Arabidopsis thaliana: one gene and its partner. The protein of the gene in region 1 interacts with the protein of each later gene in a pairwise test. Each region holds a gene or a part of one and is shown in the gene's direction. Other genes may lie near its edges.

Region 1 (7,787 bases):
CGTTTCTTCTAGACAACAAAATTCAATTGGGTTGATTTCAGTTTGTTATGGAATAGTAAGATTCAGTTAAACAATAAAATGTAAATAGAAAGTAACTAGTTAAAAAAGAAAACACCAAATTTGTAAATAGATCGAGGGCTAAGATTACACCAAGAACCAAAATAAAAGAATTTTACTATTTTATTCATACCAATAAGACTGAAAATAGACTCAGATATGCATCTATATATGCAAACAAATATTTTGCAACAAAACATAATAACACAAATCAAGTTTGGTTCTCTTCTTCTTCTTCATAGAAGTACGATCTTAGGATATCTCTATATACACACATTTTGCAGAAAAAAAGTTTCATCATGCTCTATTTGCCTAAGAAACTCTTCTTGTTCTTCTTCTCGTGCATTGTGGTGATTGTCAACTACAACAATAGTGACTTCGTAAACGCAGCAAATAGCATTGGCTTCGTAAACGCAGCAAATAGCATTGGCTTGAACTACGGTCTCCTCGGAGATAACCTCCCATCTCCGTCAAAAGTTATAACCCTTTACAAGTCCATAGACATCACTAAAATCCGAATCTTCGACCCAAACACTGAGGTTCTTAACGCTTTACGTGGCCATCGTGATATTGCGGTCACAGTAGGAGTTAGGGACCAGGACTTGGCTGCTCTTTCAGCTAGCGAAGAAGCTGTTAAGGGCTGGTTTGCGACCAACATCGAGCCTTACTTATCCGACATCAACATCGCGTTCATTACTGTTGGTAACGAAGTCATCCCCGGACCAATCGGTCCTCAAGTGCTTCCAGTCATGCAGTCTCTCACCAACCTCGTCAAGTCAAGGAATCTTCCTATCTCGATAAGCACGGTGGTGGCTATGTGGAACCTCGAGCAATCATACCCACCTTCCGCAGGAATGTTCACGTCTCAAGCGCGTGAACAACTTGTCCCCGTGCTGAAACTATTATCCCAAACAAATTCGCCTATCCTCGTAAAAATCTACCCTTACTTCTCCTATGCGTCCGACCCATCTAGCATCCGTTTGGACTATGCCACCTTCAACACTGAGGCCATCGTGGTACAAGATGGATCACTGGGCTATTCAAACATGTTTGATGCAATCTTTGATGCGTTCGTGTGGGCAATGGAGAAGGAAGGCGTTAAAGATTTACCAATGGTGGTGTCCGAGACCGGATGGCCATCTGCCGGGAATGGAAACATTACCACGCCGGATATCGCGGGTACCTATAACAGAAATTTCGTGAAGCATATAGCAAGCGGAAAAGGTACACCTAAAAGGCCTAACAAAGGCATCGACGGGTTTTTGTTTGCAACTTTCAATGAAAATCAAAAGCCGGTCGGGACTGAACAAAACTTTGGGTTATACAATCCGAATGATATGAAGCCCATCTACAATCTATTCTAATATGTGTGAAAGTTGCTTAGACTTTCCCGATTCATCAATAATTATGTTACACTAGTTGTTAGTGAATTAAAGTAAAACTAACAGTGATATATACACATACTATAAGCAACTGAGATGATGAGATCTCGTCGCGGAACTTAGTTGACTTTTGTAAAATTATTATTATTTAAAAGCAATTTCTCTGGTTTAGTAAACGTACTATGTTTCTTCATATATTTTTTTTTCTTCTAAAATCATTCCATTATGTTTCTTCATCTATTAATACAAGAGTATGCATTTTCAAAATAATACTTTTTTTATATATATATGCAAACCAGTGTTTTTTTTATCAAAATAAGAAATCACTGTCCCAAAATGATTCAATAGTTCAAGGTTTTATAAAAGATTTCTTAACATTTATAATATAACTCTTTTTGTCAAGATATGAAAAATGAAAAAGTATCTCTTATGATTAAGACAGATGTTTTGATTCGTTCATATTCCATTGAACTATATATATATCACTCAACTAGCCAGGTATAATATTTCCCATTACATACAAAAAAAAATGATCATGAAATTAATCAATTTATAAATGTTGGTTTTTTTTTTTTTGGTTAACACTAAAACCAAAAAATAAAATAATGTTGGGTTTTGTTTGACAAAAAAAAGTTAATGAAATGAATGAACGATAAGAATTGAGAGCAAGTCTGTCTCTGACCCGTCTTAATCCGATTCTTAGTCAATTTTTTGAGTTCGTCAATCATATTCTTCTTCTTCTTCTTCCTCTGATTCCCCCAGAAAAAACCTAGCTCCTTCCCTCATTTCCCCCCAAATCTCACGACTTATTTATGCTCGGGGGAGACTAATCAAAGGTCAAAATCCATTAGGGAGGGAATCGAATCTCGATCGATCTCAATTTCTTCTGAGAAAAGAAAAAAATGTCATCGGAGATTGAGGTGGTGGAAGAAATCCAATCGAATCCCAAGGAGAATGGGGAATCGAGTTCTAAAGGGATTGAAGAAGAGAGCTTGAAGAACGATGTCTATACTGCTGCCGCTTATGGTGATTTGGAGAAGCTTCATAGATTGGTTGAGTGTGAGGGTTCCTCTGTTTCCGAGCCTGATGCTCTTGGCTACTATGCTCTTCAGTGGTCTGCCTTGAACAACCGCGTCGCCGTTGCCCAGTACCTTATCGAGGTTTTGTGTCATTTTACGAATTGTTTGTTGATTGCTAAATTAGATTTGAACTAGTGGTTTTCAAGTTTCTAAAACTGATCCTTCTCGATTTCTGGTTTTTCCAGCATGGTGGAGATGTAAACGCGACGGATCATACTGGACAGACTGCATTGCATTGGAGTGCTGTTCGTGGTGCGATACAAGTTGCAGAACTGTTATTACAAGAGGGTGCAAGAGTAGATGCAACGGATATGTATGGCTATCAGGTTCATATCTCTTCTTTAACTACGCGTCCATGTTCTCTGCTGACTTCTATCAAATTTCCCTTCTTTTCTTGTTTAGTTCTCAATGGGTGTATGTTAATACTTAATTTTGAACTGCTTGTAGGCAACACATGTTGCCGCACAGTATGGCCAGACTGCTTTTCTTTGTCACGTTGTCTCAAAGTGGAATGCTGATCCTGACGTGCCTGATAATGATGGAAGAAGCCCCTTGCATTGGTATGCTTGCTGCAAAGCTTGCCTTCGTGAAATTGTTACTTAGTAATTGGTTTTTGGCTTCTTTTTATTTTTTCTTACAATTGTTTAGCCTTGCACGCTTATTTGGAGACTGGATAATTGGTTTTATTTGTTCCCTTTTCTTATTATTCCTATAGATTTAATATCTCTTCGTTCAATTTTGTTCTAGTTGCCAAGTATACTGGGTGGATTAGAATTAATTTTTGTCAACTATTTGCCTATGATAGTTCTCGAGTTTTTGTTATGAAGATTTGTGAATACGTATTACTGTTTTCCATCTAGAGACTAAGGTTACATAGGTTATTTTCTCTCCCGTTTTTCTTACTGAGACTTCGTTACCGTTACATGGATTATTCTACTGCATGATTTTTAGCTTTCTTATGTTGACCTTTTGATTTTATCCTATTTTTACAGTATCTTTTCAGAAGACAGTTCTAATTTCGTCTTTATATTCTTCTCATAATTTGAGAAATTCAGGGCTGCATATAAAGGTTTTGCAGATTCCATTCGCCTACTTTTATTTCTAGATGCATATAGAGGACGACAAGACAAAGAAGGTGGTTACAAACATATTTTTTTTTTAAATCTTCTTTGTTTATTTTCTTAGATTAACTATACGTTTCTAACATCTTCTCCGTTATATTGATTCTGTTATCAGGTTGCACTCCTCTGCATTGGGCTGCCATCCGAGGTAATTTGGAGGCTTGCACTGTCTTGGTGCAGGCTGGAAAGAAAGAGGATTTGATGATTACTGACAAGACTGGGCTAACCCCTGCGCAACTTGCTGCTGAAAAGAATCACAGACAAGTTTCTTTTTTCCTTGTAGGTATCTGTTTTACTTGTTTGTTGTGTAGCAATATGTATTCATACTGTTTGATTTGATGCTTTCGTAGTGGCTGTACTGCTTGCAATAATTAGTAGTTGAATCATTTTATTGGCAGTTATGTGCATCTCATTTGACCTTTGCATACCTGGTGTAGTTAACTCTACTTATAGCTGTACTATGTTAGTTTTTCCAAGTCTGTAGATTTTCTTATCCATTCAAAATGAGCAGCATTATGCTTAAATTATTGAGAAAATTGTGTCGATATTTGTCTGAATCTGTCTTATAAACGCTACTGTGCAGGGTAATGCTCGAAGCCTGCTTGAAAAGCGTTGTGACGGAAGCAGTCCCCTCGGAAGATTGTCAAAGTTGGGACTCGCTCCAGTTCTTTGGATCATGATCCTGCTGCTTCTGCTCGTATATACGAATTCGGTTGTTTTGGGTAGTTACCTTGGCCTTCTCAATTCTCCTTTGTCTGCATCATATCAAGTAACTGTTCTATGCATGCCTATCATTTTATGAACCCTTTGACCATTGCAGCATCCAATCTGCCAAAGTTAACGACTGGGATTGGTGCGCTTGCATGGCTGGGATTCATTCTTGCAACTGCAGGATTATTTTTGTTCTACCGCTGTAGCAGGTATATGCTCACCCTGTCCTTCCTCGATTTCCATTTCGTATATCTTCTAAAAGTAGCCATGTCTGCTCTCTGTTGTTATCTGATTATTAGTATAGTGTATCTTTGGCTCTTCACTATGCATAAATTTCTTATATTTCACCTGACGGTTGCAGATTAAGATATTACATTATAGTATTCTAAGCCGATTCTCTTCATGGTTTCATTCATCACCTAGCGATAGCAGTTTGGGATTTTAAGGCCTTTACTTCGTTCCAGCTGTAGTTTCTATTGTGAACTCCTTATTTTTCCATGTAGTGTAAATACCTTTGTATCACAAGAAGCGGGTTTTCTTATTGTTTTATATTGTAATTTTATTTTTTCTGCAGGAAGGATCCAGGTTACATCAGAATGAATATCCATGATCCGCAAACCATGAAAGATGATGTTAGTAGCTTATTGATTCTCAAGTTTAACTTACATAATTGTCCATATTATATCCGGTTCGGTATGATTTTGAGTACTATTTTCTTGTTCAAGTGTCTGACTGGTTTTCTTACCCCTTTACAGGAACCACTCTTAAAAATAGAGCTAAACAATCCTGCTTTGCTTGCTGGGAATTGGACACAGCTCTGTGCAACATGCAAGGTACCTGCTCAAATTCCGTTTTATGTCTTTCTTCAATCTTAACACCATACTTAATCATCGATGCTACATATTTACTTGTTTTGGTCCACTGTGTTTCATTTTATTCAGATTATCAGACCTCTTCGAGCTAAGCACTGTTCCACCTGTGATCGTTGTGTAGAGCAATTTGATCACCATTGTCCTTGGGTATCAAATTGTGTTGGAAAAGTAAGTACAGTTCCTTTCCTATTTTAGTTTTTGACATAGAAGTTGGCAAAATAGGAGTAGACGGATCAGGCTTTTGTTTGATACTAACATTTCATATAAACTAAATCTGCCTTGCTCTTCATTGTCTCTTTTGGTGTGACCTAACTTACAGTTCTTTTCGAAAATGCTTAGTGGTATATTTGTGTTGCATATTTGGGTATACAGATCAACAGATATGCTTCTTGGTGTCATATCACCTCTTCTATTTATTTTGGTTGCTAGTGGTTTGATTTGTTAGTCTTGCAGCTCGAGCATGATACTAGTCTGTGATACTAATCTGTGGATTGTCCTTGTTTTCCAACCTATTTTGCAGAAAAACAAGTGGGAATTTTTTCTTTTTCTTCTACTTGAAGTTCTAGCGATGCTGATAACTGGTGGCGTCACTCTTGCAAGTATGTTTGTAGTGGAAAATGCCCTTTAATCATTATATGTAAATGTAGAGAAAACTTTCGGACAAAAATGTAAATGTTGTATTATCTACATGCAGGAGTCTTGAGTGACCCTTCAGCTCCATCTTCTTTTGGAGCATGGATGAGCCATGTCGCTAGTAATCATGTGGGTGCTTTATCCTTTCTGCTAGTGGAATTCTGCCTCTTCTTTTCTGTCGCCGTCTTAACAGTCATACAAGCGTCACAAGTGAGCCCTCATTCCTTTTTCCTTATCTGCACATCTTTGTTCCTCATACAAAGGCTGCTCTTTCGTACTTTGCTTCCCCGGATTACTCATCTCTAGAATAGCTCCAGAGCTAAAACTCACTAAGTAGACTAGATTATTCGATTTTCATGGCGTGGTGTTTTGCCTCATCCTGAAGATCCATTCTCCCTATTTTCCCTTACAGATATCAAGGAACATAACCACAAATGAAATGGCCAACGCCCTGCGGTACAGCTACCTAAGAGGTCCAGGTGGTCGGTTTAGGAATCCTTATGATCTCGGGTGCAGAAGAAACTGCTCGGACTTCTTAGTAAAAGGTTATAACGAAGATATTGAGTGTCATGAAGAAGACGCAACACAGAGACCAGAGGGTATTAGCATGATGCAGATGCAGCGGAATCCAAATCTTCAAAATGGCAATGGCCATGTTGCTATCGATGTTAACCCGACACATAATTCACAGTCAGCACATGTTCATTCTGCCAACTGCAGCCATAGCCATAATAGTAAGTCAAAGAGTGACAATGTTCCTTTGGGTTTGGGACTTGGTCTTAGCCGCAACCCAACCCGACCTGTTGTATCTCCATAATATGGCCCGTGTCCCAAATGTGCATTTGTGTTGTAAGAAACACGTTTTCTCTCCTCGAGTCATTGATTACATCATTATCCGTTTCATGTGAAGATAGTAATACTCCCTTGTTTTCAATTTTCTATGCAAAAATTAAATGTCATGTTTCTTATCAATTATTTTTAGAGTATATTTTCTTATTGGTTGAATTCAGTTTACTCAATGACACAGAGAATATAACAGAAATGGTTGTACATTATGTTTTCTGGCTGAGGTATGGAAGTTTGACTCCGTCAATACACTGATACGACTTGCTTATATGTAACAAAAACATCATTAAATTTTATATGTAACAACGAATTACAAGACAATGACTGACTCCGCACCAAAATCTTGCTAAGGGCCCAAAAATAGAAAATGAAAAAAAAAAGAAAAAAAAAACAATTTGTTGTTTGTGTATGAATGTTTCACGCCAAATGCAATCTGAGTCATAAACCAATGAATAAAGTCACAACTCACCCTGTGGCAGAAGAAGAATCTGCATGATATCTTTGCTTCACCCCTCACCAAAATCAATGGTATAAATGTTACACAAACAAAATAGAACATATATGTTTTTTTCTGTCTACAAAAATCTGAATTTGGTTGTACCACAACAAGACAAAAACCTGCAAAGAGAGATTTTGTGGTTAGCTGATGATTTCAAACCCAAGTGGTATCCAGAATGTGAACACTTATTGGTTCAGGTCAAAGAAGTAAAAGCATTGCCTATAACAGTCGCAATAAGTAAAATAAAAGTTAGGTAGTTATGACAGAGCATAGTCTGGACAATGAAATGAAATGGACTAAGTATAGTCTGGTCTGATTAAGTTTCTTTATCATCTTGAACATAAGGTTCAGCCCTAACACTGGCCAACAACATTTAGTTCCTCAGAAGTCAGACCTAACAATTTCGTGAGATTATATATGTACCTTGAAATGAAGCTTGATCAAGATAATGACCAAAATCATTCTGAGACACTTTGTCATGGAAACCGCTTCAACCACGTTGGATTGCTATATTTGGCACATGAAATATATTTTCAGCCCTTCTCTTTAGTATCTCTTCCAACTGGTCTGAAGGGATCCCATTTGTC
Region 2 (7,925 bases), about 19 Mb from region 1:
AGTTAGTGGTATATATATAGTTGTAAATTGGGTATTTCCAAAGAACCAAAGTAATGTAAACTATACATAAGCGAAAATTTAAACGTTTTTCTATTCTATAGTCTTGAAAATTAAAACAATATTTACTAGGAAAAAGAATAATATAAGGGCACCGACAGTTTCTATAAGAACATGTGGCACGAGGGCTTGGAGAAGACAGTACACAGCATTCAATCAATCATGAAAACGACATTTGATGTGGTAACCTACTAAAGTTCGATCTTTTTTTATGAAAGTTTCTTAATATTTCTTTAATTTCCGGACTATATCTATCAACAAGTCAAAAGATTAAAAAAAATCAACAAGCAAAATACTGTTAAAATATTGTTTTATATATACCACGAACTATTTGTCGGCAAATGTATACATATAGTATAGACATCATACATGGGCAAATCGCATATATTTGTGTGATGTGATACCATAGTCTCAATAATTTGAACATTTTTCTCTTATTTAAGCACGGAGGAAAAATTAGCTATATGGCGACTTGGCGAGTGGAGCCAAGATTAAAAAAAAAAAAAGCATGTTATTTAAAAATATGGTAGACATAACATACAAAAAAATATAGTAAAATAAACAGAACTGATTGAACAAAAGAGAGTGATCAAAGTTGAAAAATAATTTAACTATAAAAACTAAAAAGAAAATTATCAGAGGATGGAGATATTAAACTAATAAAAATGTAATTAAATAAGTAAACTATAAATTAAATAAGTAAAAAATTAAACGTAATTAGAAGGAACAAAAAAAACTAGAAAAGTAAAAACATAAGAGAGGAAGGAGGGAAGCAAAAGTGAAAACCAATGCAGTCAACAGTCAAAAACCATGATACAGTCCATGCGTAGAACATAATTAACTTAAGCAATAAATTTAATAAGTAAAAAATTAAACGTAATTAGAAGGAACAAAAAAAAAGTATATAAAAAATTAGAAGGAACAAAAAAAAAAACTAGAAAATAGGATCTTGGACACGATGCTTACAGATTGTTTTTTGTCTGGGAAGTAAATGCCCATATCTGTTTCTCGACATTTTGAAGTCTCTCTAACAAAATAATTAGAGGAATTAAGAACTTGATTGTGTAACTTTTTTTTTAATCTTAAATTAAGATAATACTATTTCATTACAACTATTATTTTCTTGCACATGTTGCAAGAACGTGAGAGTGTACGCAGACAAATAATTAAAACGAAAATAAAATTATAATGATTATATACAATCTCGGCTATCAATTGATTAATAGAGAAAATTGACTAACCACTCTGAATTGGCTCAAAATGTAGTTATTAATTCAAACCGAGTTTCACTTCATTTATATTATTTTCATTTTTTAACTTTAAAATATATATATTTAATAAACCAAATATGATCTAAACTAAATCTAAAAGGCTCCATCCAAAGTAGATTTGATTTTACTATATATTTAAAACATGTATGGTAGGAAAATTTAACCGAAACCAAATTAAACACATTTTAGGGTGAAGAAAATCACCCAAAAAAAAAAGGTGACTTTTTTTTGTAACAAAACAAAAGACCTAAAGTTTAGAGACAAAATAAAATGTTAGGGTGATTCAATGCATCACATAATACAGTATTGTTAATAATTAATGGCTAATAATAATGTGTGTTTGGAAGTTTTTACTAATCTCTTCTTTACAACAACAAGTGGAGTGGAAGAGAGAGATACACACAAGGTTTAATGGGTCCCACATTCTTTTACTTCTCAAAATTTAATTACTAATTTTATCTAATTTTGGTGCTCTTTTTCCTCATCTACATAATTGCCTTTAATTATCTCACACCATTTAACTAATCACTGATTCTCTTCTTCCTTACGCGTTTGTACTTAACCCCCTTTTATCATCATTTCGCAGGCTTGCGTCTGTCTCTCTCTCTCTCTCCACCATTGACTCTCTCTCTCTCTCTCGCTCTGGAATCATCCTTTATTTCTGTGACTGTGTGCACTTTCAGAGAGGAGAGAGAGGCCCAAAACCAAAAGAAAAGAAAAGGTTGTGGCTTGCAGCTGAATCAATACCATCTCCATATATACAATACACCTTCACTATTCCCCCTTTTGTATTTTTATTATATTTTTCCCATCAAAGTCTGTTTTTTTAGACTCCGGTTTGCCGCTTTGTGTGTGTGTGAGAGAGAGAAAGAGAGCTATCTATCCTCTGATTTATGGTCTCTGGATCTCTGACAATCGAGTTGAGTTAATTACAACACATTCCTCTCTTTCTCAATCGATCTGTGAAATCCAAGATTGTTAGCTGTGTCTGTTTTCAGACAAATATGAACACCGGTGGTCGGTTAATCGCCGGTTCTCACAACAGGAATGAGTTTGTCCTCATTAATGCCGATGAGAATGCCCGAGTATGTTTCTCCTCTTCTTTTGTTTCCAATTCTCTGTCTTTTGATCTGTGTTTCTCTATCTCTGTTCAAAAGTCTCTGACTTTTTTTACTTTTCTTGTGGATCTGGCTCTTACCACTGCAAATCAATTAAGATTTAGGGTTTTTAGTACTAGTATTAAGATTACGTACCCTTGTAGCTAATTTTATCAAGAATTGATTGTGTCGGTGGGATGGATTTTTCCGGATTTGACTTGTCTTAATTCTCCAATTTAAGAGATTTCTTCAATTGCAATTATGAATCTATCAATGTGAAGAGTAATAATTATGTTATTGGGTTACTTTGATCTGGTGTGAGATCCAGTCTGATAGTGTCACTACTATGATCTGATGTATTTAACTCTACTGTTTTGTGCAGATAAGATCAGTCCAAGAGCTGAGTGGACAGACATGTCAAATCTGCAGAGATGAGATCGAATTGACTGTTGATGGAGAACCGTTTGTGGCATGTAACGAATGTGCATTCCCTGTGTGTAGACCTTGCTATGAGTACGAAAGACGAGAAGGCAATCAAGCTTGTCCACAGTGCAAAACCCGTTTCAAACGTCTTAAAGGTTCGTTGTTTGTTAGACCAAATTTCTTTGGTTTTTTGTGAATGTAGAAGATTTTCTGATTTGTTCGGCCTATGTTGTTGTTTGTTAGGAAGTCCAAGAGTTGAAGGTGATGAAGAGGAAGATGACATTGATGATTTAGACAATGAGTTTGAGTATGGAAATAATGGGATTGGATTTGATCAGGTTTCTGAAGGTATGTCAATCTCTCGTCGCAACTCCGGTTTCCCACAATCTGATTTGGATTCAGCTCCACCTGGCTCTCAGATTCCATTGCTGACTTACGGCGACGAGGTAAAAATCTCAGAATGTATCCACATTGTATAACCCATCTTCAGTAATTGGCTCACTCAGATTTCTCTTTTGTTTTATTACAGGACGTTGAGATTTCTTCTGATAGACATGCTCTTATTGTTCCTCCTTCACTTGGTGGTCATGGCAATAGAGTTCATCCTGTTTCTCTTTCTGACCCGACCGTGGCTGCACATCCAAGGCCTATGGTACCTCAGAAAGATCTTGCGGTTTATGGTTATGGAAGTGTCGCTTGGAAAGATCGGATGGAGGAATGGAAGAGAAAGCAGAATGAGAAACTTCAGGTTGTTAGGCATGAAGGAGATCCTGATTTTGAAGATGGTGATGATGCTGATTTTCCAATGTAAGGCAAAGAATATAATTTTTTTTGTTGATGTCTTGTTCCGTTGCAGTGATATTTATCAAGCCTTTTTTTTCCATTTTAGGATGGATGAGGGAAGGCAGCCATTGTCTAGGAAGATACCAATCAAATCGAGCAAGATAAATCCTTACCGGATGTTAATTGTGCTACGTCTTGTGATTCTTGGTCTCTTCTTTCACTACCGTATTCTTCACCCCGTCAAAGATGCATATGCTTTGTGGCTTATTTCTGTTATATGTGAGATATGGTTTGCTGTTTCATGGGTTCTTGATCAGTTCCCTAAATGGTACCCTATCGAGCGAGAAACGTACTTGGACCGACTCTCATTAAGGTACTTACATCTTGTGGGTTATTACACTTGGAAATGTTAAAACTTTGTTTTGGGGATATAATCCTTATTTTTTTTGTTTGCAGATATGAGAAAGAAGGGAAACCGTCGGGACTATCCCCTGTGGATGTATTTGTTAGTACAGTGGATCCATTGAAAGAGCCTCCGCTTATTACTGCAAATACTGTCTTGTCTATTCTTGCTGTTGATTATCCTGTCGATAAGGTTGCTTGTTACGTATCTGATGATGGTGCTGCTATGCTTACTTTCGAAGCTCTTTCTGAGACCGCTGAATTCGCAAGGAAATGGGTTCCTTTCTGCAAGAAATATTGTATTGAGCCTCGTGCTCCCGAATGGTATTTCTGCCATAAAATGGACTACTTGAAGAATAAAGTTCATCCCGCATTTGTTAGGGAGCGGCGAGCCATGAAGGTTACTAGTTCTTACTTTTTTATAAATTTGATTTGATGAGAAAAGTTTTGGTCTAATTGATTCTTGCTTTAGAAAAAAAAAATTCATGAGAAAAGTTATCAATCTTTTGTTATATGGGCTCTTATGAAAGAAGATGGTGGCTTTGAAAATTGATTTGAAAGATTGTGTGTTTTACTGGTTTTGACAGAGAGATTATGAAGAATTCAAAGTAAAGATCAATGCTTTAGTAGCAACAGCACAGAAAGTGCCTGAGGATGGTTGGACTATGCAAGACGGTACACCTTGGCCCGGTAATAGTGTGCGAGATCATCCTGGCATGATTCAGGTGAGTTTCAAATGCTTCTTATTTCTGAAAAGCCTTCTTATGTGTTGTCCTTCAAAATTTAATTATACTTTGTTTTCTTGTTAAAGGTCTTCCTTGGAAGTGACGGTGTTCGTGATGTCGAAAACAACGAGTTGCCTCGATTAGTTTACGTTTCTCGTGAGAAGAGACCCGGATTTGATCACCATAAGAAGGCTGGAGCTATGAATTCCCTGGTAAATGATATACTTTTTAAAGCTCTAAACCTTCTTCTTTGTAAATTACGTCTTGCCATTTATTGAAATGGTTCCTGACTCTTGATTTCATCTACAAAACTTTTGTTGAAGATACGAGTCTCTGGGGTTCTATCAAATGCTCCTTACCTTCTGAATGTCGATTGTGATCACTACATCAACAATAGCAAAGCTCTTAGAGAAGCAATGTGTTTCATGATGGATCCTCAGTCAGGAAAGAAAATCTGTTATGTTCAGTTCCCTCAAAGGTTCGATGGGATTGATAGGCACGATCGATACTCAAATCGCAATGTTGTGTTCTTTGATGTAAGTACAGCCACCACTTTCCTATTGTATCCCTTTTTCTTGAGATTTCTGTAGAATACCAACTAATGAATCTTTATTTACAGATCAATATGAAAGGTTTGGATGGGCTACAAGGGCCTATATACGTCGGTACAGGTTGTGTTTTCAGGAGGCAAGCGCTTTACGGATTTGATGCACCGAAGAAGAAGAAGGGCCCACGTAAGACATGCAATTGCTGGCCAAAATGGTGTCTCCTATGTTTTGGTTCAAGAAAGAATCGTAAAGCAAAGACAGTGGCTGCGGATAAGAAGAAGAAGAATAGGGAAGCGTCAAAGCAGATCCACGCATTAGAAAATATCGAAGAGGGCCGCGTCACTAAAGGTATCATACAAATCCTGTTTGTTGTTAAACTCTTTCGTTAGTCGGTGCATTTTACTAAAAAAATAAAATTTAAAAAACATTCTAGGTTCTAACGTAGAACAGTCAACCGAGGCAATGCAAATGAAGTTGGAGAAGAAATTTGGGCAGTCTCCTGTATTTGTTGCATCTGCGCGTATGGAGAATGGTGGGATGGCTAGAAACGCAAGCCCGGCTTGTCTGCTTAAAGAAGCCATCCAAGTCATTAGTTGCGGATATGAAGATAAAACTGAATGGGGAAAAGAGGTAAGCAGCCGGTTTTAAACCTTTGTTGTGTTTATTCAATCAATTCTTGATTTTGATGATGACCTTGTGAAAAAAATCTCAGATTGGGTGGATCTATGGTTCTGTTACCGAAGATATTCTTACGGGTTTTAAGATGCATTCTCATGGTTGGAGATCTGTTTATTGTACACCAAAGTTAGCGGCTTTCAAAGGATCAGCTCCAATCAATCTTTCGGATCGTCTCCATCAAGTTCTTCGATGGGCGCTTGGGTCGGTTGAGATTTTCTTGAGTAGGCATTGTCCTATTTGGTATGGTTATGGAGGTGGGTTGAAATGGCTTGAGCGGTTGTCCTACATTAACTCTGTGGTTTACCCGTGGACCTCTCTACCGCTCATCGTTTACTGTTCTCTCCCTGCCATCTGTCTTCTCACTGGAAAATTCATCGTTCCCGAGGTAAAACAATCATCTTGAGTTCTCAAAATATGAATCTTTATTTCACGTTTTGTGCTTATTCATTTTCCTTGCCACTGGGGGTTAAAAGTATCATATGAATCTTTATTCCAAGTTGTGTGTTTTAAGACCGGAAAACGATTCTTGTTCCTTCTTTTTCCAGATTAGCAACTATGCGAGTATCCTCTTCATGGCGCTCTTCTCGTCGATTGCAATAACGGGTATTCTCGAGATGCAATGGGGCAAAGTTGGGATCGATGATTGGTGGAGAAACGAACAGTTTTGGGTCATTGGAGGTGTTTCTGCGCATCTGTTTGCTCTCTTCCAAGGTCTCCTCAAGGTTCTTGCTGGTGTCGACACTAACTTCACAGTCACATCAAAAGCAGCTGATGATGGAGAGTTCTCTGACCTTTACCTCTTCAAATGGACTTCACTTCTCATCCCTCCAATGACTCTACTCATCATAAACGTCATTGGAGTCATAGTCGGAGTCTCTGATGCCATCAGCAATGGATACGACTCGTGGGGACCGCTTTTCGGAAGACTGTTCTTTGCACTTTGGGTCATCATTCATCTTTACCCGTTCCTTAAAGGTTTGCTTGGGAAACAAGATAGAATGCCAACCATTATTGTCGTCTGGTCCATCCTCCTGGCCTCGATTCTTACACTTCTTTGGGTCCGGGTTAATCCGTTTGTGGCGAAAGGCGGTCCTATTCTCGAGATCTGTGGTTTAGACTGCTTGTGATTCGATTGACCGGTGGATGGGTTGGTGAAAAAGGTTTAATTCCCACGGATCAAAGAGAGGTAAGAGAGATATTGTTTTACCTCTAAAAGACTCCTTCATTGTGTTCATTAGATGATGAAAAATGAAAAGAAAAAGAAGATTTAATTTTGTTACGAGAATTGTTATTTTTGCAAGAATGTGTTGTAGATATAGAGATGAAGAAGAAAGTTGTTGTCTATTTGTTTTGTTCTTTGGTGGTGAGAGAAAAAAGATTTGTCAAATTATTCTTTAATTGAATATTTCTGATCTCTTTTGAATATTACAGAAGAGCATTTTCAATCTGTAATCTTTTATGATTAAAGAACTTTGATTTATTTTCACTAATTTCCCTATCTTATTTCTTGTTTGAAAAATTAATTTACTCGAGGTTTGATTGGTTTTGATTTTCAATCCGCATGCTTGGAGACGTTTTAAAGCATCCATTAAAAATGTTACCAAACCTTAGAAAATTACGAACTTGATCAGAGTGGCCCAAAACAAATTATACAGGCCCAATACAGGCCCGAATCTACACAGCCTTTTACACTTTTATTGGTTCTGTTTTGACAAGTGACATGGTGCTTTCATCATATCTGCAGAGGGCAGCACTCAGATTGGTTAGTCTTTTTGGTTAGAGAATTTTGAAAACTTTTTTGTTTCTCATTTGTAAGTGTCACTACGCAAAGTAATTTAATATTTTTGTATCGTTCTAGTTTTATTAAAATGTCTACACATAGATACCAGAAAGAGGACTTTAATTTCGAGTCATTTTTGAAATAAAAGTTTCTAATTTTGT

Evidence for each region.
Region 2: the proteins of TIP1 (region 1) and CESA6 interact in a two-hybrid assay, tested with the Arabidopsis thaliana proteins (one study listed by BioGRID).

What each region holds. Positions count from the first base shown.
Region 1 is NC_003076.8:6,874,431-6,882,217, forward strand, and holds TIP1 (Ankyrin repeat family protein with DHHC zinc finger domain-containing protein), read left to right. Parts: upstream 1-2,010; 5' UTR 2,011-2,341; coding exon 2,342-2,599; intron 2,600-2,703; coding exon 2,704-2,844; intron 2,845-2,965; coding exon 2,966-3,078; intron 3,079-3,573; coding exon 3,574-3,653; intron 3,654-3,754; coding exon 3,755-3,918; intron 3,919-4,222; coding exon 4,223-4,361; intron 4,362-4,459; coding exon 4,460-4,559; intron 4,560-4,924; coding exon 4,925-4,982; intron 4,983-5,105; coding exon 5,106-5,183; intron 5,184-5,291; coding exon 5,292-5,390; intron 5,391-5,742; coding exon 5,743-5,821; intron 5,822-5,916; coding exon 5,917-6,065; intron 6,066-6,267; coding exon 6,268-6,672; 3' UTR 6,673-7,076; downstream 7,077-7,787. Other genes in the region: BG5 (beta-1,3-glucanase 5), read left to right, coding at 357-1,421; Phox3 (Octicosapeptide/Phox/Bem1p (PB1) domain-containing protein / tetratricopeptide repeat (TPR)-containing protein), read right to left, coding at 7,691-7,787.
Region 2 is NC_003076.8:25,879,223-25,887,147, forward strand, and holds CESA6 (cellulose synthase 6), read left to right. Parts: upstream 1-1,810; 5' UTR 1,811-2,332; coding exon 2,333-2,413; intron 2,414-2,807; coding exon 2,808-3,003; intron 3,004-3,091; coding exon 3,092-3,294; intron 3,295-3,377; coding exon 3,378-3,655; intron 3,656-3,737; coding exon 3,738-4,004; intron 4,005-4,087; coding exon 4,088-4,433; intron 4,434-4,620; coding exon 4,621-4,758; intron 4,759-4,844; coding exon 4,845-4,970; intron 4,971-5,081; coding exon 5,082-5,294; intron 5,295-5,377; coding exon 5,378-5,654; intron 5,655-5,739; coding exon 5,740-5,936; intron 5,937-6,018; coding exon 6,019-6,369; intron 6,370-6,529; coding exon 6,530-7,111; 3' UTR 7,112-7,506; downstream 7,507-7,925. UniProt on the Arabidopsis thaliana protein: Catalytic subunit of cellulose synthase terminal complexes ('rosettes'), required for beta-1,4-glucan microfibril crystallization, a major mechanism of the cell wall formation. Involved in the primary cell wall formation.